Canis lupus familiaris: one gene and its partners. The protein of the gene in region 1 interacts with the protein of each later gene in a biochemical or structural test. Links are inferred from orthologs where the notes say so. Each region holds a gene or a part of one and is shown in the gene's direction. Other genes may lie near its edges.

Region 1 (4,239 bases):
CTTGTGGCACATCTTGTATAAATCCCTCAGTTTGAGAAGCGCTACTAGCTCATTGGATCCAAGGGTACATTTCTTTGAATAAAATAGGGAATGAAGTCGTACTTAGTTACTAACCCAATATTTTTTCAAATAATTCTATTCAGTAGACATGACTGTCATTGTTTCTAAAGTACTTTCTCTTGATCCCTGTATTTACCCTTATTTTGGATGAGCAGTAGTCTGTAAGAGACACTGAACAGCCAGCCCTGCTCTGAGCCATGCTGACTTACTTGTTCTGTGATTATATTCTTCATACTTGATGTCTTAAACATTTTGTTTCCCTTCTTTAAAATGATTGTGCCTGGCTGGCTCAGTCAGTAGAGCACGTGACTCTTGATTTGGGGGTTATGAGTTTGAGGCCCACGTTGAGTGCAGAGATAACTTATACACACACAAACACACAAACATGTAAAACTAAAAAAAAGCTGATTGCACATGCACATTTCTGAACTGATACATTCCTACTGTTCCTTCTTAACAAGTCAGAAATATCCCTTCAGGGAAATCCTGTTTAGCTAGTGGCCACCTCTAGCACAGCCAGATGCTCTCTCTGTGGTGCTACTATCCTAGATAAAGGATAAACAAGATAATGTTTCTGTATCTTACTTAAGACTGTGAGCTCCTTGAGGGCAAGAACTTTGTGTTTTCTTTATATCCCCTCTGGCCAAATACAGTGCCTGGCACCCAGCCAGTACCAAGAAATGCTTACTTGAATGAATGGATGAGTGAATAGACAAGCTCTTTATATTTAGTGTTTGATGTAACCTAGCTTTATTAGAAACTATGACTTGCTATAGGCCAAAGCATTCAACTGATGACAACTACATGACCCCTGCTCTCAGTCCATGCTTCAAGTCCAAGGTGGAATGGTTGTAGTTACTGTGGTAGTCCTTCATTGTGCTTACCTGTAATAAAATAGCTTTTTATTGGTACCTAATACTTTATCTTCCTTCTTTTCAGGAATTGTTGGATAAGTATTTAATAGCCAACGCAACTAATCCAGAGAGTAAGGTCTTCTATCTGAAAATGAAGGGAGATTATTTTCGGTACCTTGCTGAAGTTGCGTGTGGTGATGATCGAAAACGTAAGTATGTTTGGTTTATAGGTAAAGTTAAAAAAGGAAGGGAGGATAAGTGGGACACTGTGACAGTAGTCGCTATGTAATCTCCAGGTCCTCTGTAACTTTTTAAAAAATCTTGGAATCTACATACGATAAAATTAATGTAATGTGACCTTAATGTTCTAAAAAATGAAAATAGCCATGAATTTACATAATGTACTGTTTTTGAAAAATTAAACTCAAATTCTGGTGATAATCTGCTAAGATATTATTTAAAAGGCTTAATCTTGGGCGCCTGGGTGGCTCAGTCATTCAGCTTCCTACTCTTGATCTCAGCTCAGATCTGGATCTTTACAGTTGTGAGTTCAGGTCCTATGCTGGGCTCCACACTCAGTGTGAAAAATAATAATAATAAAGAAAAAATAAGAGAGGCTTATTATTACTCTTTTATACTTTAGAGTTTGGTGAAGCATATTTTTTAGCCCCCTAGTTATTTGCATATGCTTTGAGAGTTTGTGCTGTTACATGGCCTTTTGTGTCATCGTACCTTGAAACTTACTGGAAATTACAAAGAGAATATAGAAACAGCATGTTATGCTTTTTCTGTTTGACAATTTATTAACTACCTATTTTGAAGGATCATTACATTGACTACCAATACTTACAAGACCAAATTTCTGAGGAAGAGAGGTGAGTGAGAGTTTTGCTGGTATATAGTTTGTCATAGAAAATATAGATCTGGGAAAGAGAATAAATGAATTGCTAGAGTTGATTGTAAAAAGAAAATCAAAGCAATTTATTACTAGTGGACTTAGCCTCCTGGAGTATTAGTAGCTGAGTACAAGTCAGGTCCTATTAAATTTTGTGTATGTGCCTGCTATCATATTTATCAAATTCTAGTTAGAATTTTCACCCAATTCCTTATTTCTGGTAGGTTTATTAATTTGTTTTTAATTTTGCCCCATCCAAAAAGAGTGTACTTTTTCAAGTAGTTACTGTGGCTTCCTACCCTCAAAGAGGTACTAACTGAAAGTGGAACAGTTTTACCACCCCAAATATCAGTGTAATTGAAGATACAAAGAGAAAACTATTGCATCCTACTGTAACAATTTGTATACTAAACTTATTGATGTATAATTTCTGTTGTCATAAAGATAAGCAAAGCTGAAAGTAACAGATATTTGCAAGTCACAAGGATATCTTTGGGAGACTGGGACATAGCCCCAGCATTAATCTTATTTAACCCTTTCTAGCTTCCTGGCATTTCTATCCCTATCCATAGAATACTCCGGTAGACTGGGACTCATAGTCTGTATTTACAGCTTAGGAGCTGAGACCCCTTACTGCTACTCATTACAGTACTTCCTTAAATGCCAAACAGCAAGAACTCCTTACTATGTGAGGGCTCTACCAGCTATATTTAGATTAATAAGTGTGCCATTTCTGAAGAAGGAAAAATCCTTATATTCAGGCCATAAAAAGGTTAACTTTACATTTCTATTAGAGGAGTATTTCTAAAGCTGTAATGGGCCAGTGGTCTCATTGAGAAAACCTACCTACTCTTTTGAAAGCATGGCTATAGTCAGATTAGAATTGGTAACAATCACTGAACAGCTTTTTTCAGGAAGGTAACCTTTTTATTAGGCCAGTAATCAATCTCTTGTCAGAGCAGATTTTATTTTGTATTTTGACACTTTTATATTGCCTTTTACATAATACATCTTGATACCAAGGATTAGTATTGTTTTTACAAATAAGTCACAAAAAAAGAGATTTTGGTGGTATGATCTTTGTAAAGTGTTTTCATGATTTTGAGAAGAGATAGCCAAAAATTTTTTCTAGCTTTATTGAAGTATTATTGACGTGTATCGGTGAAATTATTTTTAATTGCTGCATTTCCAATTAGTAAAATTAAAAGATACGGAAAAAGAAAATTGTTTGAGTCACAGATCTGGAAAAATCCAATTGCACTATCTCATATTGGGTTTTTTAAAGCTGATTATAAGCAAGCAACATGGGACGCCTGGGTAGCTCAGCAGTTGAGCATCTGCCTTCAGCTCAGGGCGTGATCCTGGGTCCAGGGATCAAGTCCCACATTGGGCTCCCTGCAGGGAGCCTGCTTCTCCTTCTTCCTGTGTGTCTGCCTCTTTCTCTGTCTCTCATGAATAAATAAATAAAATCTTTAAAAAAATAAAAAAAGCAACATTATAAACTAGTTTCTCCATAAGCTGGTATGAGGTAATGTTTTCAGTTTGCTACTATGGTTTTAAAGGAAGGCCACAGAGAAAAATCCAGCTCTGCATGAGGTAGTAGCATAAGTTAAAGGTTAATATGCTGTATACTTGATGGATATTTTCAGTATTGTGCTTCTTTTGTCTCTCCCCCCCCCTCACAGAAACGATAGATAATTCCCAAGGAGCTTACCAAGAGGCTTTTGATATAAGCAAGAAAGAGATGCAACCTACACACCCCATTCGCCTGGGGCTGGCTCTTAACTTTTCTGTATTTTACTACGAGATCCTTAATAACCCAGAGCTTGCCTGCACTCTGGCTAAAACAGTAAGTTTCGGGTCATTCTTATATGTTCTTACTCATATTGATAGGGTCATTGTCATAAACTGGGAATCTGAAAATGATTCCATTGAGTTTTATTTTAATTGATAGTAGAACATAAAGTGGATGTTCACCTATTTTATAAAAATGGTTTATAGTTGTAGAGTAATGCAGTTTGTTTTGATGCAAATATCTACCATGGATATTAATATTTACCAGGCTTTTGATGAGGCCATTGCAGAACTTGATACACTGAATGAAGATTCATACAAAGACAGCACCCTCATCATGCAATTGCTTAGAGACAACCTAACAGTGAGTTGTTCGTTCTTTTAATTTTATTTTTAAGAATAAAAGTACTTCTATTTTAGTTCAGTCTTCCTATCATTTGGGGTGGTTATGTAAGAGCTACACTTTCTCTTAGAAAACGAGTATAAAGATACATAAGTAAAAGTATTAAGTGCTTGTTAGTGTTTTGTATTGGCCATCTGTTCTTTTGTGGGCAGATTTTTAAATTGAGTAGGCGTTTTATCAGACCTAGACCTTTCCTGAGAAGGTAGTAAGATTGTAGGAACTGTTAATATTAA
Region 2 (4,865 bases), on another chromosome or scaffold:
GGAGCCGGCTCTGGTCGCTGGGACCCGGGGCTAGGGCTCCTCAGCTCCCCGGCTCCCGCTGCTCCGCCCCCTCTTGCGCCTGCGCCTGCGCGGGCGGCGTCCGCTACGCTTATTGCGCAGAGTCTGGCCCCACCAGCTCCGCAGCTTCGCGCCGGAGCCGTGCGAGAGTTGGCGCAAGGTGCGCTGCCGGCGGGCGCCAGGGGTTACTGGAGGCAGGCGGAGGCCGAGACGCCCGGGCTGAACCGCATCCGGGTGGGCTGTGCCCGCGGCCACCTGCCCCCGTTCGTTTGCGGGGCCGCCAGTTCCCATGCTTCTCTTCCCTATCCCCAAATTGAGATCGCGCCGCCCGGCGGAGGGGCGGCGACAACCTCCCCGCACCGGCTTCCGAAGGAAACTTCCGCCCGCAGCCAAGATGGCCCCCGGGCCCCGCCCCCTGGGCTTCGCCCGCAGGGCCCCGCAGTCCCGGGGAGGCACGGCCGCCCCACGCCCCGGCCCGCTGCGGTTCCCGCTCACCTGGCCGGCCTTGTGCCTGCGCGAAGCCCCCTTAAGTCCTACGGCCACCCTCAGCGGGGCCCCCTCTCCCGCGCCGGGACAGCCATCCTGCCGGGGAGGAGGCTTCCTCGCTTATCTCGAGCGCTCCTGAGCCGGCGCGCGGAGTAGTGCGCCCGAGGCGTGCGGCGCGAGGTTTCCACTGTGGGGAGGAGGGAGCGGGACTTCCCGACCCGACTCCCCCGTCCACACGGAGCAGTGACAGCAGCAACACCTGCATCCGACGGCTGAGCTTCAGCTTCAGCTTTGCAAAGTGCTTTCACCCACAGTAATCGCCACTCGGTTTACAGAGTTCACTGGCCTCTAAGGGAGATGTCATCATCCCCATTTTACAGGAGTGGAGACTAAGGCCCAAAGGGGCTGAAGGGCTTGTCAGCAGAAGCTGGTCTCCAGGTTCCAAGAGGAGACCCCAGAGAATCCCTCATCTGCTCCCGCGCAGGACCCAGGCACAAGGAAGTCAGGAACCGAGCGGCGGGGAGAAGAGGAAGGGACCCGGGACGACGGCAGTGGGCTGGGCGCAGGTCCGCCGCGGGGGCGGGGTCTGGGCCAGGGGCGGCCACGCCCCCTGGCCCGCCTTAGTGACGTGTCACCAGCTGATTGGGCCCTCTCGGTGACAGTTCCCGTTACCCAGGCAACTAGGGCCGGACTCCCTCAGTACTAGAGGGAGGCGGCAGGCCCGGGTCAGGGGCCTCGAGATCGGGCTTGGGGTAAGACTTGTGTGCCGTCACCGAGGACAGGTTGGGCCAGGGCCTAGGTAGGGACCTGGAACCGCTTCACAGCTCCGGGGCTCCACAAGAGGAGATTTAGGTAGACAGGCTGAGCGACCTGCCCAGCTAGCCTCAGTGGACAAACGGGGGCCCGGGAGGCAGAGTGAACCTGGGGTTCTAAGGTGGGCATCTGCTGCCCTCTCCCTTCACTAGCCACCATTTACCCCAGCTGTGCCCTAACTACCTGCTGTCTTGCCCCCACAGCCCAGAGCATGTTCCAGATCCCAGAGTTTGAGCCCAGTGAGCAGGAAGACTCCAGCCCTGCAAATAGGGGCTTGGGCCCCAGCCCCACAGGGGACCGGCCCCCAAGCCCTGGCAAGCACCAGCAGACGGCCCCAGGCCTCCTAGGGGAAGCTGGTCACCAGCAGGGGCAGCCAGCCAGCCGCAAACACCATGGAGGTAGGTACCTGCCTGGCCACCTTGCCCTGCCCCAACAGCTCCCTGCATCCTAGCTGCATCCCCACTCGCTGGCCTTGAGTAAGTCCCTAACCTCTCTGCACCTCAGTTTCCTCTTCTGTAAACCAGAGCAATTAATCACCACCATTGTAGGGCTGTTGGGATGATTAGTAGAACTATATAGGAAGCAATTATAGGGCCCGTGTGTAGTAAATGCTCAAAGAATGTAGCTGTTAGCATAGGACCAGAACACAAATCACCTAGAGACAACCAGTCAGCCAGAAAGGGGAAATGACTTGCCTAAGGTCACACTTGGTTGGCATTACCTTTGGTAGGAACCAGGGCTGGAAGACTCCAAGGTGCCCTGCCCCCGGCTTTGCACCTTCCCTGAAATTGGACCTTAGCCCCAGGTATGTATTTTCTTGCCCTGTGGCACACACCCATACTGGGACTATCCTTGCCAGTTGCCAGGGGTAAATGACTCCAAGGATAGCCCTTCCAGGAAGCGGGCCTGTCCACATCCACTGAAGGAACCCAGTGCTAAGATGGAAGGATGGGCACAGAGTGTGGTGGCCATTTCTCACCAGTGCCCACCTCCCCAGTGCCCAACACAGGTTTGGGCGCCTGGAACCACCATAGAGGTCTGGTGTGAACAAAACTTGTATCCCTGATCTCCTGAAATCTGAATGACCCCATCCATCCCCACCTTCAGGAATAGGAAGGCTTACCGGGTCTTCCTCCCCAGCCCCCCCCAGCCCCCCCAGCCCCCCCCCCAACTTTGTCAGACTGAACTCCAGATTTTCTTTACCTCCTTTAACATCCAGATCTTTGCACTTGCTGTTTTTCTGCTCACTACAGGTTTCTACCCCCCACCTCCCTGTTCCTCTTCATCCTCCATATCAAGTGCTTAGTTTGTGCCACATGCTGTCCCAGCTGCCAGGGGTACACCAGTGAACAAAAAAGATAAAAGCCCTTGCCCTTGTGGTGCCTACATTCTAGTTAAGTGAGAGAGTGAGAAGAGACAAGCCATAAACAAACAAATGCCATAATGTGTTAGAAGATGACAGGCGTTGGGTGGCAGTGCCAGAAACATTGACTTTCTCTTTGAAATCCAGAGTATTGGGAGCTGGAGGAGACTCTAACGGGTGGTCAGGGTCAGCCTTGGCAGGAAGCAATATTACAGCAAAGCTTGGAAGGGGTGAGGGGTGAGCCCCGTCCATATCATTGGAAAAAGACAGATCCTGGCCTAGGGAAGGGCAAATGCAAAGGCCCTGAGGGGAGGACACGGTCTAGGCCCCTGGGGGGAGGAGAGTTTGGAAGTGGAGGGAGGGATAGATGGGAGGGGGGAGGAGCCCCTGGGCAGGGCCTGGAAGGCCAGTGTCAGGGTGTTGGCTTTCACTCTGAGTGGAAACACATGGGACAGCTTTGAGCAGAGGCAAGGGTGGTCTGATTTGGGGTCAAGAGAATCACCAGGGCCCCAGAGTTAAGACTAGTCTGCAATGGGCAAAAGCAGCCATGGGGCTGCAGGAGAGGCAGCCCCAAGAGTCCCAGTGAGGAAGGATGGTGGCTTGCACCTGGTGGTGGCCGTGGGGTTGGTAAATAGCTGGACTCTGGGTTTATTTTGAAGGTAGAACTGGCAGGATCTGCCAACGAACTGGATGTTGGGGGCAGGGGTGGAAAAGACAGGAGCCAGGGATTGCTGCAAGGAATCTGGCCTGGGCACCTGAAGGACGGAACTATGGCAGAACTGTTTGGGCCAGGGCAGGTGAGAGGTGCCTTTTGGGCAGCCAGATGGAGGTTTCTAGTAGGCATAGGTCCAGGTGGGATTTATACACATGGGAGTTTTCAATCACTGAGGTAATGTTCTCTGAGGCCCGGGGAGCCAGCATAGACAGGCCAGCAACAGAGGAAGAGGCAGCATTGAGGACTGAGAAAGAATTAGCAGGATTGGAGGGAAACCAGGAGCAGGCAGGGCCTGGGCAGCAAGGGGGAATAGTCTGGCTGGAGGGGGACTGGGAGCAGAGCCCTGGAACCACCAAGACGGGGCTGTTGCAGTTTGGGTGGGGAGGTTGAGGGAAGGCTGAGCTCAGTTCAGTGGGGAGGGATGACAGGAAGAGAAGTGGAGGCAGAAAGGAGAGCCCAATCTTGGCAGCTGTGTTCCAGAAAAGGGAGCAGAGAAATGGGCAGCACCTGAAGGCCCAAGGAGGCTCCAGGAAGGGTTGTTTAATTTTTTTTTTTAAAGATTGTATTCATTTATTCATGAGAGACACAGAGAGAGAGGCAGAGACATAGGCAGAGGGAAAAGCAGGGAGCCCGATGTGGAACTGGATCCCGGGACTCAAGGATCACGCCCTGAGCCAAAGGCAGATACTCAACTGCTGAAACAACGAGATGTCCTGAGTTGTTTAATTTTTAATTTTTTTTTTAATTTTAGAAGGGAGAAAGAAAACAGCCCGTCTATAAGCTGATGGGAGTAATCCAGGAGCCAGGAAACTACCCAATGAGGCAGGAGAGAAGGGAGACTAGCTAGAGAGATGTCTTTGAGTAGGGGAGGGGTCTGGTGCCTGGGGAGGGCTAGCTCAGCTAAACGCCGGAAGGTGGACATAGCTGCGTGGTCTTGGGTAGATACTTTATGGGAAGTAGTAGAAGTTTCTCTTGTGGGTGCTTCCGGGTTCTCCAGGAGAGGGTTGAAGGAGAAAGGATCAGGTTTGAAGTAGTCGAGCATCCCCAAACATAGAGCATGTGAAGTGTACTGGGCAATGTCAAGGGTGCAACTGGGTTTTATGGTCTTTCTTTTCTTTCTTTTTTTCTTTTCTTTTCTTTTCTTTTTTTTCTTTCTTTCATTTCACTTTATCTGTTCATGAGAGACAGAGAGAGAGAGGCAGAGGGAAAAGCAGGCTCCTTGGAGGGTGGGACTGGATTCCCCAGACAAACGGGATCATGCCCTGAGCCAAAGGCGGATGCTCCACTGCTGAGCCACCCAGGCATCCCTATGGCCATGAATTTCAGTGGTGGCTGCATGGTTGTGCTTTTCTCCAGCCACACTGGCTACCAGGGGCCTGTGGGGGCCAGCAGGGAGTTAGAGTTTAACCAGAGCTGTGCCTGTCTCAGCCTAGCTGGGAAGAGGTGCCTGCAAGGGAGGGAATGGTTGGT
Region 3 (5,016 bases), on another chromosome or scaffold:
TAAGGGAATGGACCGGGAGAAGTGGGCTACCTAATTTGGCCAGCCCAACGCAAAGTGAACAATTGTTAAGAATTCCAAGATGGTGGCAGGCAGCAAAACTTGGGGGCAGAGCATCACACAAGGCAGGTCCTTCTGAGGTCTGGGCCCTGTACACCCGCACAGTCACACACGCCTGAGGCCCATCCCGGGGTGGGGGGGGGGGGGGTGGGGGGAGGGTAAGATTAGAATTCATCCCCACAGACTGGGAAGCACTCATCTCCTCACCCCTGTCAAAACAACAGCAGCAGCAGCAGCAGCAGCAGCAGCAACAACAACAACAACAAAGCAACTACCAGAATTGGAGCAGAGAGTGCCCGGCCTTGATGGTGGCGGCGGTGGCGGTGGCGGTGGCGGTGGCGGGCGCTGGGTGAGGCTGCGAGCGCCAGTCCCACGGGGCCGACTTTAGAGCGACGGGACGAGAAGGCAACCAGGGTTTCTGGGGCTCCAGAAGGAGAGGTGCCAGGCCGAGGACGGGGGGAAGAGGCCACATCACACCTTCCCGCTGCCTCTGTGTGGACAATGCCTGTTCTGTCAGGGGACCGTCTCCCGAATTCGGCCACCTGGGTAGGTCTGGCGCCTCGGGAGCTGCGGTGCAGTAGGTGGGGTTGGGGATGGGATGTTCAGGCAGGAAAGGTAGGGACGGGCTTAAATACACTTCCGCGGTCGGGCTCCCTGCCCTCTCGGGCAAGACCCCCGAGGGCTCCCAGGAGGAGGAGGGATGTAGGCGGGCTTCCGAGGACCCTCGGTTCTCACGCTCCCTGGAAGCCTCGAAGGCAGGAAGACCCATGGAAAAGCGCGGGGCGCGGCGTTCTCCCCCCCCCCCCCCCAGGTCACCGCACCCCCAGAAGGGCGCTGGCCCCGGGCGCTCGGAACTGGGGCCAGGGCGCGGGGCCGGGGATGCCGGCGGCGCTGGGAAGCGGGCAGGAGGGATGCGCCTCGTCCTCCCCGTGCGCGGCCGGGCGGCCGGGCCAGCCGAGCCCCGAGCCCCGAGCCCCGAGCCCCGGGCCCCGAGCCCGCACCGGGACGGCGAGGGCCGGGCCACGCCCGCGGAGGCGGCCGCAGGCCCGCAGCTCAGTCCCGCCCGGGCTCGGGGCGGCTCAGGTCCCGGCAGGGATCCCAGGGCGGAGGGGCGGAGGGGCGGAGGGGCGGAGGGGCGGCGACCCGGCGCCCTGCGGCTACTGCGGCCACCGCTCCAGCAGCTCCAGCCGCTCCAGCCGCCCGCCGCCCGCCGGGGCTGTCTCCGCCTCCAGGCCCCCTTGCGCCCCGCCCGGCGCCCGGCCCCGCCGCCCGGCCCCGCCGCCCCGGGCCCCGAGCGCGCCGGCCGGCTGCTCCCCGGCGGCGCCTCCCCCGAGCGGCGCCCTCGCTCCCGGCGGCGCAGTCCTCTCCCGCCTCGGCCATTGCCCCTCCCCCGCGCCCCTCCCGCGCCCCATCCTCTCGCCCTCCCCCCGCGCGGGGACTTTTCCGGAAAGTTTTTATTCTCCGCCTCGGCTCCTGGGGAAAGCGGCTCCCGGCTCCGCGGCAGCAAAACTTTTCGGCCGCCGCTCCGCCGACGCCCGCCCTCGGCCGCCGGCCCCGCGCCCCCGCCCGCGCCCCCGCCCGCGCCCCCGCCCGCGCCCCCGCCCGCGCCCGCCGAGCATGAGCGCCCCTCCGGCCCTGCGGCCGCCCAGCCCGCTGCTGCCCGCGGCGGCGGCGGCGGCGGCGGCGGCGGCGGCCGCGCTGGTGCCGGGGTCCGGGCCGGGGCCCGCGCCCTTCCTGGCTCCCGCCGCGGCCCCGGCCGGGGGCGTCTCGTTCCATCTGCAGATCGGCCTGAGCCGCGAGCCGGTGCTGCTGCTGCAGGACTCGTCCGGGGACTACAGCCTGGCGCACGTCCGCGAGATGGCTTGCTCCATCGTCGACCAGAAGGTAAGGCGCCGCACAGGGGGCGCTGCCCGTCCCGGCGCCCCTCGCCGCGCCGACTTCCCGGCCCGGGGGCCCGGCCGCGAGCCAGCCCCGCCGGCGCCCTGGAAGCTCTGGCAGCGGCCGAGGCCGGACGCCGGCACCCGAGGCGCCGCGGTCCCTGCGGCCGGGTCCCCCCTTGCCCCACCTCTCCGCGCCCCGCCGCCTCCTTACCCATCCGTTCCCGTTCCTCCCAGGACGTTTCCAGGTATGTCGCTTGCCCCGTTTCCTTCAGCGCCTCTCCCTGCTCCCGGCGCCCGGCTCCCCGCCCCCCCCCGCCCCGGGACCCCGGACCCCGGACCCCGGACCCCGGACCCCGGACCGGCACGTTCCTGGCGCCGGGATCCTCCTTCCCCAACCGGAGTTCTCCCCCGGGACACGCTCCCCACGATTCCAGCACCACTCCCCTCCTCTTCAGGCCCCTCTCCCAGCTCAGACCGGTGCTGAGGAGTCCCTGGAACCGTCTAGAGATGAGGAATTTCTCACCTGTCAAATTACCTTTTAAGAGGGGGCTGACTGACTCAGCCAGCTGTGAAAACAACGGGCCGGACCACAACCACTCACCTCCTTGTGGTTCTTTCGTCCGACCTTTGTGTGGACGGGAAAGCACATTTTTCAGCCCCGAGGCACTGATAGTGGGGCACTGAAGTGCAGGCACAGACACATAAAAGGTGGGGGCACTCCCAGGAGCACCCCAGGGCTGGCTGTGCCCTTAAGCTGGAGGCTGTGGGTCTCTGGACAGCGGTCCCAAAAAGGCAGGTTGGAAAAAGGGCCATTACCCCGGGCCAGGCCACCCAGGGAGGAGACACCCCCCCATCCGCCCCCCCCCCCGACGCCCACCACTGTTTATAGGGCTGTTGTGAATTTCAGGTTGTTTCCGTAGCCATCCAGGGTGATGCTGCACGGAAAGAGGCGATAAGAGTGTGAAGGAGAGGAGGCCGTGGCGCCAGGGTTCTCAGTATAAACAGGCAGGGTTAGGGGGGTGGGGACAGAGGTCTCTAAAGGTGCTGAATTTCAGCCCTGGAGGCCTGGCTAGTACTTGCCTTATGAAAGTCACTTAAATAATCATGAATGTTTTCTTTAAGGTATTTGAAGCAGAGCTTGCTAAATCCAAGTGTTGTTGATTGTGGCATCAAGCACAGGGATACAGGGAAAAGCCCCAGGGAAGAATCAGTAATCTAGGGAGTTTGTAAAAGTTCTGAAGGCTCAGCCAAGGCAGTAGTGAGGGTCAAACGTTTTTAGGTTATTGAATGTGGTGACATTTTCTATTGCATATGACTCTCCATCTCTTTCACCTTCCATGTAAATGACAAATTCTCTTGAATTCTAGTATAAGGCCCATCATGTGCCTCCTCATCAATATTATGAAATATTTGTTGCAGGTGAACGTGAACGCTTTCCTAGGCACCGAAACGTGTTCCCTGAGTGGAAATTGCCTACAAATCTCTATTAGGGTGCAAAACCAGTTGATTAAAGAGTATTACTGGATAAGTGTAAATACAGTGTATAGTAAAGTTTCTCAAAAAGCAAATGCAGGGGAGCCTGGGTGGCTCAGCAGTTTAGCACCGTCTTCAGCCCAGAGCGTGATCCTGGAGACCCGGGATCCAGTCCCACATCGGGCTCCCTGCATGGAGCCTGCTTCTCCCTCTGCCTGTGCCTCTGCCCCCTCCCCCTCTCTCTCTGTGTATCTCATGAATAAATAAAGTCTTGGAAAAAAAAAAAGCTAATGCAATTGTGTAGAATTTTAATGTACCTAAATTCTACAGCAAGTGATAGAGTTACAAGGAATATCCAAATTGAGTTAGATTAATATGGACAGGCTGTTTTTGACCAGCTGAAACACACACACACACACACACACACACACGATCACACCTGTTGATGGAGGTTGGGATGGGGAGAAACATTAGTGGTTCAGGAGTTTTGGGGATTGGGATTTTGAATCGAAAGTGAACTGCAGTTGTCTCAGTAGCTACCAAGAGGGATGTTATATGAAGGGCCCGGTAGAAGTACTGAAGGAGAGAGTCTCCAAGCACCTGCGGATTGCAGTAGGCCTGAGGGTGGTGAGTAGGGTATTTATAGAAAGTACAACTGAAAAGATCTCAAATTATTAGAAGACTCAGTAATCTTCCATATAGAGATATCAAACCAAGAACATCTGAAAGATGGATTTGCTCTGTGGGAAGATGTTTTTGAATGCCAAAAATGTTATGGTAGAAAGAAAACGAGTTCAGTCATGAGCTACTTGAGACCTGAACCAACACTCTGGGGAGAGACCTGGAAAAGTACTGAAAAGGGAAAATCCTCAGCCTTGGTGGCTGATTTATAATGAGGAACCCCTTCCTTTTGTATTTACCCTTGTTCTCTTTCTGAAAGAAGAGTTTGAGAAGTTTAAAGGCTTGAGGTAGCCAAGGTAAAGAACTATCTCGTAATTTTTTTTTTCTTTAGAGGTTATGACAAAGAATTGGATTTAGAGATGCAGATTTGTGGGTTATTTGTATAAATATTTGCTGGATGGTGGGTCTCGGCAGAAGAATTTCCATCTGTCTGTCTTCTGTCATCTGTCTTGAGATACATTATCACCCGAGGCAGAAACGAGATGAAGAGAACTAAATGTCCATCACAGGATAGCAAGGATCTCTTCTGCTTTGTGAGAGTGGATATGGTGGACAGGGTCAGTAGTACTGAATTAAGGAAACGGGAGGAGGCTTTTGTCCCTTATTTCAGGTTCTCTTAAGTACTTGCTGAAGGTATCAACCATGAAGAAGGATGACAAGAGGGAAAAAGAGAGAGAGGAAGGGAAACTAATGTTTTAGGTGAGAGCTGAGAGTTTGAAGTCATTTACAATTTATGATGTAGACTTAGAGTCATGTCTAGCTTACAGCAGAAGGTTCTGATTTTCCAAGCCCTCCACATTCATTGTTTCATGAACTTTTTATTTTTATTTATTTATGAGTCACACACAGAGAGAGAGAGAGAGGCAGAGACATAGGCAGAGGGAGAAGCAGGCTCCATGCACCGGGAGCCTGACGTGGGATTCAG
Region 4 (4,961 bases), on another chromosome or scaffold:
AACTAGAGGCATAGAAAAGGAAGGAAGAGGGAGGCCCAGGCACCTCAGCTGCACTGGTTAGTCTTCATCAATATCCCACAATCCTCTGTAAAGTGAGCCAAACCTTTTTGCTGCAGGCTGCCTTCTGCCTCCCCCAGAGCCCTGGGCTGCTGGCAGCCTCTCTCCTGTGATATGGAGGAACTTGTTGGTCTCCATGGTTACAGTAACCCACTGGTACGGGGCGGCGCCGAATGGAGTGTGAGGCTGGCAATGTGAGCTTCCCCCAGCCCTTGGCACCATGTGGTACTGGTATGTCGGCTATTTCTTAGACCTTTTCTGGGAGGAAGGAGTTAAGGAGCCCACGAGGAAGAGAAAAAGCAGGCACACCTTCCTCTTCCTCTGGGCTAAGAGGCCAGAGGCATGGCTGGTTTTAGGTTAGGGAAGAGGGTCCTTTTTGCCTGACAGCCCAGCCATGGTAGAAATTTGACTTTTCCCTGTACTAGCTTCACTCCACTGATGCTTTGAGTCAAGTTCTTAGAGATAATAGCTCTTCTCTGGGCTCAGAGGACCCCTTAATGGGAAGCAGGTTCCTATCTGAAAGAGAAGCAAGATCTTAGGAAACACTGTTGAGACCTTACTGCACGCCGGACACTGCGGTCCACACTGGGGTGCGTTTCTTCCTTTCGTCTTCATGCCGATCTTGTGAAGTGGGTACAGCTGGTGTCCACATATCCCAAATAACGAAACAGGCGCTAAAGAAGTCAAAGAATCTTGGTCGTGCTCAGTGAACTAGTAAGGAGCAAAGGCAAGGCTCTCACCCCAGGGCCGTCTGCTTCCAGAGCTCTGTCGTGCTATCCTGCCTCCCTTACTAAGTAAGCAGAGGTAACTGTGATGCGTCTAATATAATATACAGTTTCCTCCTCTGAGTTTCTAGAAGGCAGAAACCAGATCTCTCTGAACTTTGCAAACTGGCCCTGGCTCCAGAGGTAGGCCCTCAACAAAGGTTTGCTGAATTGGCAACAGTAATTGGGAATTGAGATAGAGACCAGACCCCAGTGAGCAGATTCTTAGGGATGAAATGGTACTAGAAGCTGGTAAAGCTCTGCTTGCTCAGTAGAATCTGTCCTGTTTGAGGAAGAGCCCAGCATTTCAAGTAGCTGCACAGGCCGGAGCTTTGAGAAGTACTTATTGCATTGTGGCTTCCATGCATGAAGGGGAGTGAGCTGGAGGTGCTGGATCGGTTCTGGTCTCACTCCAGGTCAGGTCTTGTCTGCTGGTCCCCCCAGACACATGCTGGCTTCTGCCTTCAGGTGAGGCTTGCAGCTCAAAGAGCTAGCAGGCAGTGAACTACCACTCTTTGGGCTTCAGTTGCCAGCTCTGCAGTTCTCCTCTGTCGGGGAGGAGCACCTGCCCCGGCTACAAAGAGAGAGCAGCGCTCTGACACTTTGACACAGTCCCACCTCCCTTCTGCACCAGGGTATTAAGGGAAGGTGGGTGGGGGGTCCCCCAGGCAGAGCCACCATGGCTAATTTTGAGTGCAGGGAGGTTGCACCCAAGCTCTCTACCAGTTAGTGCTTCCCACAGCCTTACAAGATCTCTCCTACCCACAATGCTCCTCTGGTTTGTTGACTCTTGGCAGTTGAGAGTGACAGTTGCTCAGGATTAAAGGATGCAAAAAGGTCTCCTGGATGCAGTGAAGGAGGAAGGGTTAAAGAACTTGCCACAGCCACATGACTTGTCAGCTCAGCCATACCCATTTCTCCCCAGCCTCTCTGAGGTCAGTGCTTAGTACTTCCTCAGTTTACAAAACCCCTTACTGATTCCCACAAACAGGATTGAGGAAACAATCCTTCTGTTACATTGCAAAACTCTAGGGACTGGAAAAATGAAGCCATTTGATCCTATTCTGGCCTCTGAGCGAAGGGGAAGGTGATCACAGACAGTCCTGAGCCCAGGGTCTGGAATAAGCTTTCAGCTCTTGCACTGAGATGGGGGCCCACTTTGGAGAGAGATAGAGGAGCAGGACGTGCTGTGGGACCTCCCGGTTATGTCCTCACAACAGCCCTACATGTAGGCCTGAGCCAGACACCAGGCATTCCTGTTGCCCTAGGCATCTCCCCACTCCCCCACCCTGCTCCCCTCTCCACTTCCTTATCTTCTTTGGGAGGGTGGGTACCAGCAAAGGAGGCCTCAAGGAACAGCAGAGTGCTGACCTGGACTTGAAAGCCCTGGGCTCCGATCCCAGTTCTGTGATTCAGTTTCTTATGTGTAATATTAGGGTGCTCCCTGCAGGTGTGGAGAACATAGGAAATACGGGGCTGCAGAAGGTAGTGTCAGGAACGTCCAATCTGTTGATCAGGGCTCCTGTGTAAGATGAATACTGAGTAGCATGGTCTCCCTAGTATCCGTGCTCAGGTGGTGGGAGGGCACACAGGACGTTTTGCCCTTCCCTAGATGGGTTGATGGCCTACCAACGTGAGACCTTTCAGGAGTTGCTTAGTGGTGGGACGCCTGGGTGGCTCAGCGGTTGAGCATCTGCCTTTGGCTCAGGGTGTGATCCCGGGGTTTGGGATTGAGTCCTGCATCAGGCTCCTTGCATGAGAGCCTGCTTCTGCCTATGTCTCTGCGTCTCTCTGTGTGTGTGTCTCATGAATAAGTGAATAAAATCTTAAAAAAAAAAAAAAAAAAAAAGTTGCTTAGTGGGAAACATCATAGCCTGGAGAAATAGGATGAAGTCAAAGTAAATCTGGGAGCCAGAAGAAAGGCATGACCGGCACACAGAACTCAGACGAGGGAGGGCTCCAGTAGCCCCAAATTAGCAGATGCCCAGACAGGAAAGCTTTGCAGGAGGAAGGCATGAGGACCAGCATCCCTGCTGGCCCCGGCCCTCAGAGTTCTTAAAGCAGTGATGTGGGAGGGGGAGTGATGGAGACTGCTTGGAGGTTGGACAAGAACCAAGGGTTGGCCTCCCAGAATCAGGGCCGGAAGGGACTTAGAGGGACATTTGTTTGGTTTCCCATCTTTAGGGTGAGTTTTAGGATTAAATGTCTCATTCTGTGGTGACCAGAGTTTTTAGTCTAGAACCCATTGACCTCTAAAGGGTTCCTGACTTCCCTGAAGTTATGTCCCCAATATTTTGTGTATAAGTGGAATGTGCGTTTTTCTAAGTTAAACACTGCTTTTTGTGAGGCAGGAGGTCCATCTGCCACTGTTGGATTGCTGGTTTCTGTTTAACCCCTGCCTTGTTCTCAGGTGGTTTGCTGGTCTTTGGCAAGGGTTAGCAGGCCTGATTCACACATACTCCTCCCAGCCAATTGGAGCCCCTACCCAGGTCCCACCTGCTGCAGGTGAGATAAGGACTTTATGACAGCCCTGTCTCCTCACCCTCTCCCAGCTGTTACCCAGCAAAGCACCTTTGGGAGGGTGGGGCAGCCCACTTCCGGAGAGGGGGAGGGAAAAGGAAGTTGATCTTAAACCCGCCTCTCTCTTTCTTTCTCTCTCTCCCTCTCTCTCTCCCTCTCCTTCTCCCTCTCCCCCCTCCCCACTGCCTCCTGTCCCTTTCCTCCCACCTCACTCCTGTAGTGTCCTGGGACCGCATGCACTTTCTGGCCACCAGGCCCTGGCCTGTGGGAAGCCGTGGGGCTTTTTTGTCCCTGTCGGTCTCCTTGCCAAGCCTGGTCTCTCTCTGCTAGTGGTGGTTTCGGTTGCGACACAGTCCAGGTTCCCAGGCAGGAGCCTCTCGGGCCTGGCTGCTTCACTGTTTTTCACTGAGGAGGTGGTGGAAGGTGTCGCCTGCTTCGGCTGAGTAAGGGTGGCTGGCAGAGCCGGCAGCCCCCGCCCTGGGCCTGGCTCTTCCTGGCCTCTGTACTTTGCCCTCGCTGCCTGACAGGTTCTGCTGTGGGCTCTGCTGAATGGAAGTTGCTGGTAGTCCTTGCCCCTTTCTCCAGCCGGGTATGTTTTCCCCTTTTCTGCTGTGAGATTGCCCCTTCCTCTTAACCACCCAAACACAGGATCTTTAAAGAAGTGCTAAATGGAGCCAGGCGCTAGCACAGGTAGTAAAATTCATGGAAAGAGGCACTGGCTGGGAAAGGAAGAGGGGGCAAATACCGGAAGAAGAGTCTCCATAGGTTGAATCAGCAGTCACACCCAGAGTGGGGGCGGGGGGGACAAATGGAGGCCCAGGGAGGGCGTGCCAGTGCTCCAGTAAGGGGAGACTCGGATCTGGGGTGGCCGCCCGGAGCCAGCACCCGAGGGACCCTGTTCTTCCCACAGTGCCTGGGCTTACTGTGCCTCTGGCTGGGGAGTACCTGCCTGACTCCTCCCAACCCTGGGGAAGTCTCAGGACACTTAAGTCCAGGCCTGAATGCGGAGTCCCACCACACAAGCTTTTCTAGGGGAGAACTGTTAGTAGGAGCCCCCAGCGTTAGGGAAGGAGCCCTACCTACCTGAGTCAGCACTGGGCCTCTGGGGTGGAGGCTGTCTTCCAGGCAAACCTGGCAACACGCCTGAGGCTGAGTTTAGAGATCCTAGGTTGAAGGGCCTGCTGGATAGAAGGCTCTTTCTCTTCTCCCCGGGTCCTATGTTCCATCTCTCTGTTGAGCCTCCAAAGCTGTTCAGGTCCTGCTTCTGAGTCAGGCTTGCTAAGTCACCTGTGTAGTCTGCTGTTGGTTCCAAATACTGCCTCACAAGGCGACCCCCTGTTCTTTCTGAAGGCTGCCTGAGAGTCGGGCTGTCAACTTGCAACAGACTTCCTCAGGTTTTTAGGGCTAGCTTGTGGTGTGCTGTGGGCTTTGAGAATGTTTGGTGTTCCTATCTTACTGTGAGCAGGGAGGACAGAGGTAGAGGGAAGAGTGTGACTACCCAGATCCTGTTTTGTTGGCCTCGAAGGGCAGCCAGTCCTCAGCCCCCCCAACTGGTGGTAAGATCTGGATTCAGGCTGAGTGGGCCTAGTCAGGACCACAGAAGAGACTGTCTCCATACCC
Region 5 (4,761 bases), on another chromosome or scaffold:
TCAAATAAATAAAAATAAAAATCTTAAAATATATATATATATATATGGTCACCTATAAAATGGGAACAATTTCTCCCCCTCAGGGTTGTAAGGATTAAATGAATTAATACAGATAAAGCACTTGGAACAGTGTCTGTCACATAAATACTATATGTATTATGTATTTATGTATTACGTATTTATTGTATTTATGTTGTTGCTGTCTAGGAGCTCCCAATAGGGTAAGGGTAGAAACGAAGGAAATGGTTCTGAAAAAGTATGGTATGAGCTTAAAACGGAAGTGAGCAATGAATGTGGAGTCCAGCAGCCTGCAGTGCAGGGCTCGAGTCTTGTGTGTCCGTGGCTAGCACTGCAGGAGCCTTAAGCGCTTCGTTGTTGGGGCCTAGAGGTCACAGAGCCCAGTCGTTGGGTCATTCGGTTCCTACTCTTCTTACAAAAATTGGGGCCTGGAGGCCCGGGAGGAAGGGAGAAGGGGCCTACAGTACCGCACGGTTATAGGTCGAGCCACGGCTGGACCCCGAGTGGGCAGGACAGCTCTCTCCAGCCTGCGCGTCCCCTCCGCGTGTGGACCTCAGGGAAGGGGGTGGCTACGCAGTCGTGGCCCTCCGCGGGTAGGAGGTTCCCGGGCCACGGTGCGGGTTGGGAACTACGCTCCCCAGCATGCAACGCGGCAAGAGAGGCGTCTCGGTCTCTACCCTCGCCTCCCAGGTTCTGCTGGGAGTTTTCATTGACCTCTGAGCCCCTATCCATTCGGATCTGCTCTGGCCTCCTCTCGGCCCCGCCCCTTTCAGAAAGCGGATGACCCCTCAGAGCCCCGCGAGCTGCTTCCTTCTTCCCCTCTCATTGGTCCAGCGTAGCTGCCTTTCGGGAGCGAGGAGGCGAAGTTGCTTACTGATTGGTGGATTCCGTTTGGCGCCAACTAGGAAAGGGGGGCGGGGCAGCGGCGGTCCCTAGTGAGCAGCTATTACCGCGAAAGGCCGCCTCGGCAGCGACAGTCCGGAAGAGAGGTGAGACTCCTCTTGGTGCTCTGCGACCCCGGGTTCGGGCAAGGGGGTGAGAGAAAAGTGAAGAGAGTGTGAGCCCTGGCCGTTGCCTTGCGGCCCTGGCCGCTTTCTCTTCCCGACCCGACGCGTTTGTTTGGATTTAATCCTCAGGTTGCCGGCGCCCGCCCGCCCGCTGGCCTCGCGGGGTGCGGGGGAAGCACCCGTGCATGTGCCTGGCGCCTGCTGGGTTTAGACACCCGCCCGTCCGCGCCGCTTGCCCGCGGCAGCCGCATCCCTGAACCGCGGGGTCGTGTTTGTGTTTGACCCGCGGGCGCCCGCGGCGGGGCGCGCGGCCGAGGCCGGTGCCGGCGGGGCGGGGCGGCGCGGCGGAGGCGGAGGAAGAGGGAGCGGGAGCCCTGGGAGGCCGGGTGCCGCCATGGAACTGGGCCCAGAGCCCCCGCACCGCCGCCGCCTGCTCTTCGCCTGCAGCCCGCCTCCCGCGCCGCAGCCCGTCGTGAAAGCGCTGTTCGGCGCGCCAGCCTCGGGGGGCCTGTCGCCTGTCACCAGCCTGACGGTCACCATGGACCAGCTGCAGGGACTAGGCAGGTGAGGAGGGACTGGCGAGCGGTGCCACAGGCCGCTGGGCTCCCAGATGGCTCTCGGTGGGGCGGGGGCGGGATCTGGCTGGGAAACGGGTCCGGAGCGGGGCGAGACCTGCCCGCCGCTCGTGGGCCGCCCCGCTGAGCAGGGGCCCGCCATGTGCACCCTCCCCCCCAGGCGGAATGTTGGGCGGGAGAGGCCGTTCGGACCCTCCAGGGCCGCCCTCAGCCCCGAGCCGGGCCCGGTAGGGGGTGGGGTCGGCCCGGGGTCCCCACTTAGGCTACCCATTTCAGATTGCTTTGTACTCTCCTTCTGTCCCAATCCAGGGAAGTTCTTTGTAATCTCCCCCCAAGAGGGCAAAGCAGACCCTTCAGGCGCCTCACTTCCACCCTTTCCTGAACCACTTCGCAGGATCTTAGCTTCCTGCGAGCTTTGTTCCTTCTCTACAGAGACACATGGCATTTTCTTTCCTGTCGTTTGTGCAAAATCCTCTTCGTTCCTCACCACGTGCACATTCCTGATGTCCACCCCTGCTTTCCTAAGGCAAGGCCTTTTTATTCAACTCTCCATCCTCAGAAGCTCCCTGGACTTTTCCTTCTAGCAAAACCTGCATCACGGTGTTTCTGGTGGGGTTGCTTTCCCTTCGATTTTGGATGTCCCATTTTCTTTGTAAGCACATGTCTTGTACATTTCTAACCTCTGAAAAGCAGGAACTTGTCCAATTTATCTTTCATCCTAGGAGCTAGAACACATGCTCTCCCTTCAGAAAATACTCCAGCATCATAGTCCTCTTGCCTACAGTGTAACCCAGGCCATGCCTTCCCACCACTTTTGCATCTTTTATTTTCAAGTGCTGAGTGTTTTGGGTGGCAAAGTGGGTTCTGTGATGTGGCCCAGAAGTAGATGATTGATAGCAGCCTGGATACTTGCCTAACCTCGTGGCCTGTCTCCTGTGTGTACTTGTAGTTATGTTTTGGAAATAGAAAGAGGGGCAGCTGGGTGGCTCAGTGCTTGAGGTGCTCTGCCTTTGGCTCAGGTTGTAATCCTGGGGTCCTTGGATCCATCCACATCAGGCTCCTCCCTACAGGGATCCTGCTTCTCCCTCTGCCTGTGTCTTTGCCTCTCTCTCTCTCTGTCTCTCATGAATAAATAAATAAAATCTTTTTAAAAAATACATAGGGATCCCTGGGTGGCGCAGCGGTTTGGCGCCTGCCTTTGGCCCAGGGCGCAATCCTGGAGACCCGGGATCGAATCCCACGTCGGGCTCCCTGGTGCATGGAGCCTGCTTCTCCCTCTGCCTGTGTCTCTGCCTCTCTCTCTCTCTCTCTCTCTCTCTCTCTCTGTGACTATGATAAAAAAAAAAAAATTACATAGAGTTCTTTCTCTTGCTTTCAGTGAATATGAACAGGCGCTGGAGGTGAGAAACAGCAGTCTGCAGAGAATGGGCTCTTCTGAGTCAACCGATTCAGGTATTCCTTTAGTCTCTACCATTTATTATGTGTTTACTGTGTGAGGATCAAAACTTGGAATGTGTTGTGAACGTGTGCCCCACCTAGGAACTTAGTCTGGTGACTACCTGAGACAGTAAATCAGAGTCATGGCATTCAGTAACCAATACCCTTAAAATAGGCCAGATAAGGCCCTATGGTAGTTTATGGAGGAAACCAGCGTCAAGTGTCTGCATGGAGGTAGAGTGTGCTTGATCTTGAGGATGAGTAGGTGGGTACAATGAACCATAACACCAAGACCAGAAAGGTGTATTGGTTGAAATGCAGGGCCAAATTATTGAAAGTGTGATGACATTGTTTCAGTGAGCCTGCGGTGGAGGAGATGGGCCCAGTGCATTTTACTCTAATTCACAACTTCATGCTACTGCAGGGTTTATATTTGCACAGATGCTTTAGGCTAGGGAACTACAAGAGCAAAGATCTTAAAATGGAAACTTCTTAAGAACTAGGGATAGGATTCTTGTGGCAGCATGGCAAATGAGAATATCAGAGCTAACACTTGACTTTCTGCAAAGTTATGTGGATCTCATGAGGAGAGGTGTGCAGTAGGCACACTCGTGGGTCTGGGCCATACTGAGAGCAGTGTGTCTTCCACCTTGCTCCCTTTGGTGAGATGAGCACCTTACTTGGTGTTATTTTGTTAAAGGCCATGAATACTTGGCTTGTTTGTCACATGACTGATAAATGTATTTTTCAAAACCCCCAAATTAAAAAAAAAGAAAAAACCCAAATTACACATATGATCTGACAAGATAAAATATTTGAAGTCAAAACTATTCCAGAAAACAGTTACCTATTCTTTCCATAGTCAGAACTCACAGAAAGTTACCTGGGTAATCTCTATTTGAATAACCAACCATTCATTAGAAGATTATGTTTAATTCTCACATCCTGTTCCCTTGATGGTATTTGCAAATAGGTAAAGGGGATTGGTAGAAGATATACTATGAAAATGTTGAGACTTGTGCAAATATGAAGTTTTTGACAATTAGAGACACCACTTTAATTCTGGCAAAAGTCCAAGGTGTGAGTTGATTGATGGCTTAAAGAAAATACTAATAGTATTTTTGTTTATTTAATGACAAAGTGGTGTTTTGTGTATTATTTCCTGAGGTTTTTTTTATTTCCACAGGCTTCTGTCTAGATTCTCCTGGGCCCTTGGACAGTAAAGAAAAGTACGTATTCACTGCTTTTTAAAGTTTGTGCTTAGAAAAGACTTTTCTTAATTTTTTATTGAAATTCTTTGTGTTCTGGACAGGAGCCCTGGATTTAGCTAACCCTAGTAAAACTTCTGGATCCTATAAATAAGTCTGCCTTTAGAGAAAGTAGTTTGTGTTAGTAGTCTTTAAGACTTCCCGTCCTTTAAAAGAAGACCAGGCTTGCTCATTTTACCCAGAAGCCCAGTAATGTTGGGGTGCTTGTGAGAACAGGACAGTCTCAGAAACCTGTACTTGCATCTTGCCTAAAATGGGAATGTTTGTGCCCTCCCCAAACTATAGGCTAGACACTGCATCTGCTAATATTTCTCTTGTTTTAGTCTCATTGTTTATCTTCTGATCTCATTGCAGCCTTGAAAATCCCATGAGGAGAATAAGTTTCCTGCCTGTAAGTTAATTCTCTTGTTTATCTTGAGTTAATTAGTATTATCTATCTCCCTTAGCTGTCAGGGT

What was found.
Region 2: the proteins of YWHAQ (region 1) and BAD form a complex in vitro, tested with the Homo sapiens proteins (2 studies listed by BioGRID). The link is inferred for Canis lupus familiaris from reciprocal best matches to the Homo sapiens genes YWHAQ and BAD.
Region 3: the proteins of YWHAQ (region 1) and PRKD1 form a complex in vitro, tested with the Homo sapiens proteins (2 studies listed by BioGRID). The link is inferred for Canis lupus familiaris from reciprocal best matches to the Homo sapiens genes YWHAQ and PRKD1.
Region 4: the proteins of YWHAQ (region 1) and MARK2 form a complex in vitro, tested with the Homo sapiens proteins (2 studies listed by BioGRID, with this or other methods). The link is inferred for Canis lupus familiaris from reciprocal best matches to the Homo sapiens genes YWHAQ and MARK2.
Region 5: the proteins of YWHAQ (region 1) and CDC25A form a complex in vitro, tested with the Homo sapiens proteins (2 studies listed by BioGRID, with this or other methods). The link is inferred for Canis lupus familiaris from reciprocal best matches to the Homo sapiens genes YWHAQ and CDC25A.

What each region holds. Positions count from the first base shown.
Region 1 is NC_049238.1:6,669,942-6,674,180, reverse strand, and holds part of YWHAQ (14-3-3 protein theta), read left to right. Parts: intron 1-999; coding exon 1,000-1,123; intron 1,124-3,494; coding exon 3,495-3,658; intron 3,659-3,871; coding exon 3,872-3,967; intron 3,968-4,239. UniProt on the Homo sapiens protein: Adapter protein implicated in the regulation of a large spectrum of both general and specialized signaling pathways. Binds to a large number of partners, usually by recognition of a phosphoserine or phosphothreonine motif.
Region 2 is NC_049239.1:53,288,125-53,292,989, forward strand, and holds the start of BAD (bcl2-associated agonist of cell death), read left to right. Parts: upstream 1-1,523; 5' UTR 1,524-1,528; coding exon 1,529-1,715; intron 1,716-4,865. UniProt on the Homo sapiens protein: Promotes cell death. Successfully competes for the binding to Bcl-X(L), Bcl-2 and Bcl-W, thereby affecting the level of heterodimerization of these proteins with BAX. Can reverse the death repressor activity of Bcl-X(L), but not that of Bcl-2.
Region 3 is NC_049229.1:9,459,362-9,464,377, reverse strand, and holds the start of PRKD1 (serine/threonine-protein kinase D1), read left to right. Parts: upstream 1-1,674; coding exon 1,675-1,941; intron 1,942-5,016.
Region 4 is NC_049239.1:53,629,101-53,634,061, reverse strand, and holds the start of MARK2 (serine/threonine-protein kinase MARK2), read left to right. Parts: upstream 1-1,619; 5' UTR 1,620-1,648; coding exon 1,649-1,756; intron 1,757-3,524; exon of another isoform or gene 3,525-3,930; intron 3,931-4,961. UniProt on the Homo sapiens protein: Serine/threonine-protein kinase. Involved in cell polarity and microtubule dynamics regulation. Phosphorylates CRTC2/TORC2, DCX, HDAC7, KIF13B, MAP2, MAP4 and RAB11FIP2. Phosphorylates the microtubule-associated protein MAPT/TAU.
Region 5 is NC_049241.1:41,230,543-41,235,303, forward strand, and holds the start of CDC25A (M-phase inducer phosphatase 1), read left to right. Parts: upstream 1-1,419; coding exon 1,420-1,589; intron 1,590-2,978; coding exon 2,979-3,052; intron 3,053-4,223; coding exon 4,224-4,266; intron 4,267-4,659; coding exon 4,660-4,696; intron 4,697-4,761. UniProt on the Homo sapiens protein: Tyrosine protein phosphatase which functions as a dosage-dependent inducer of mitotic progression. Directly dephosphorylates CDK1 and stimulates its kinase activity. Also dephosphorylates CDK2 in complex with cyclin-E, in vitro.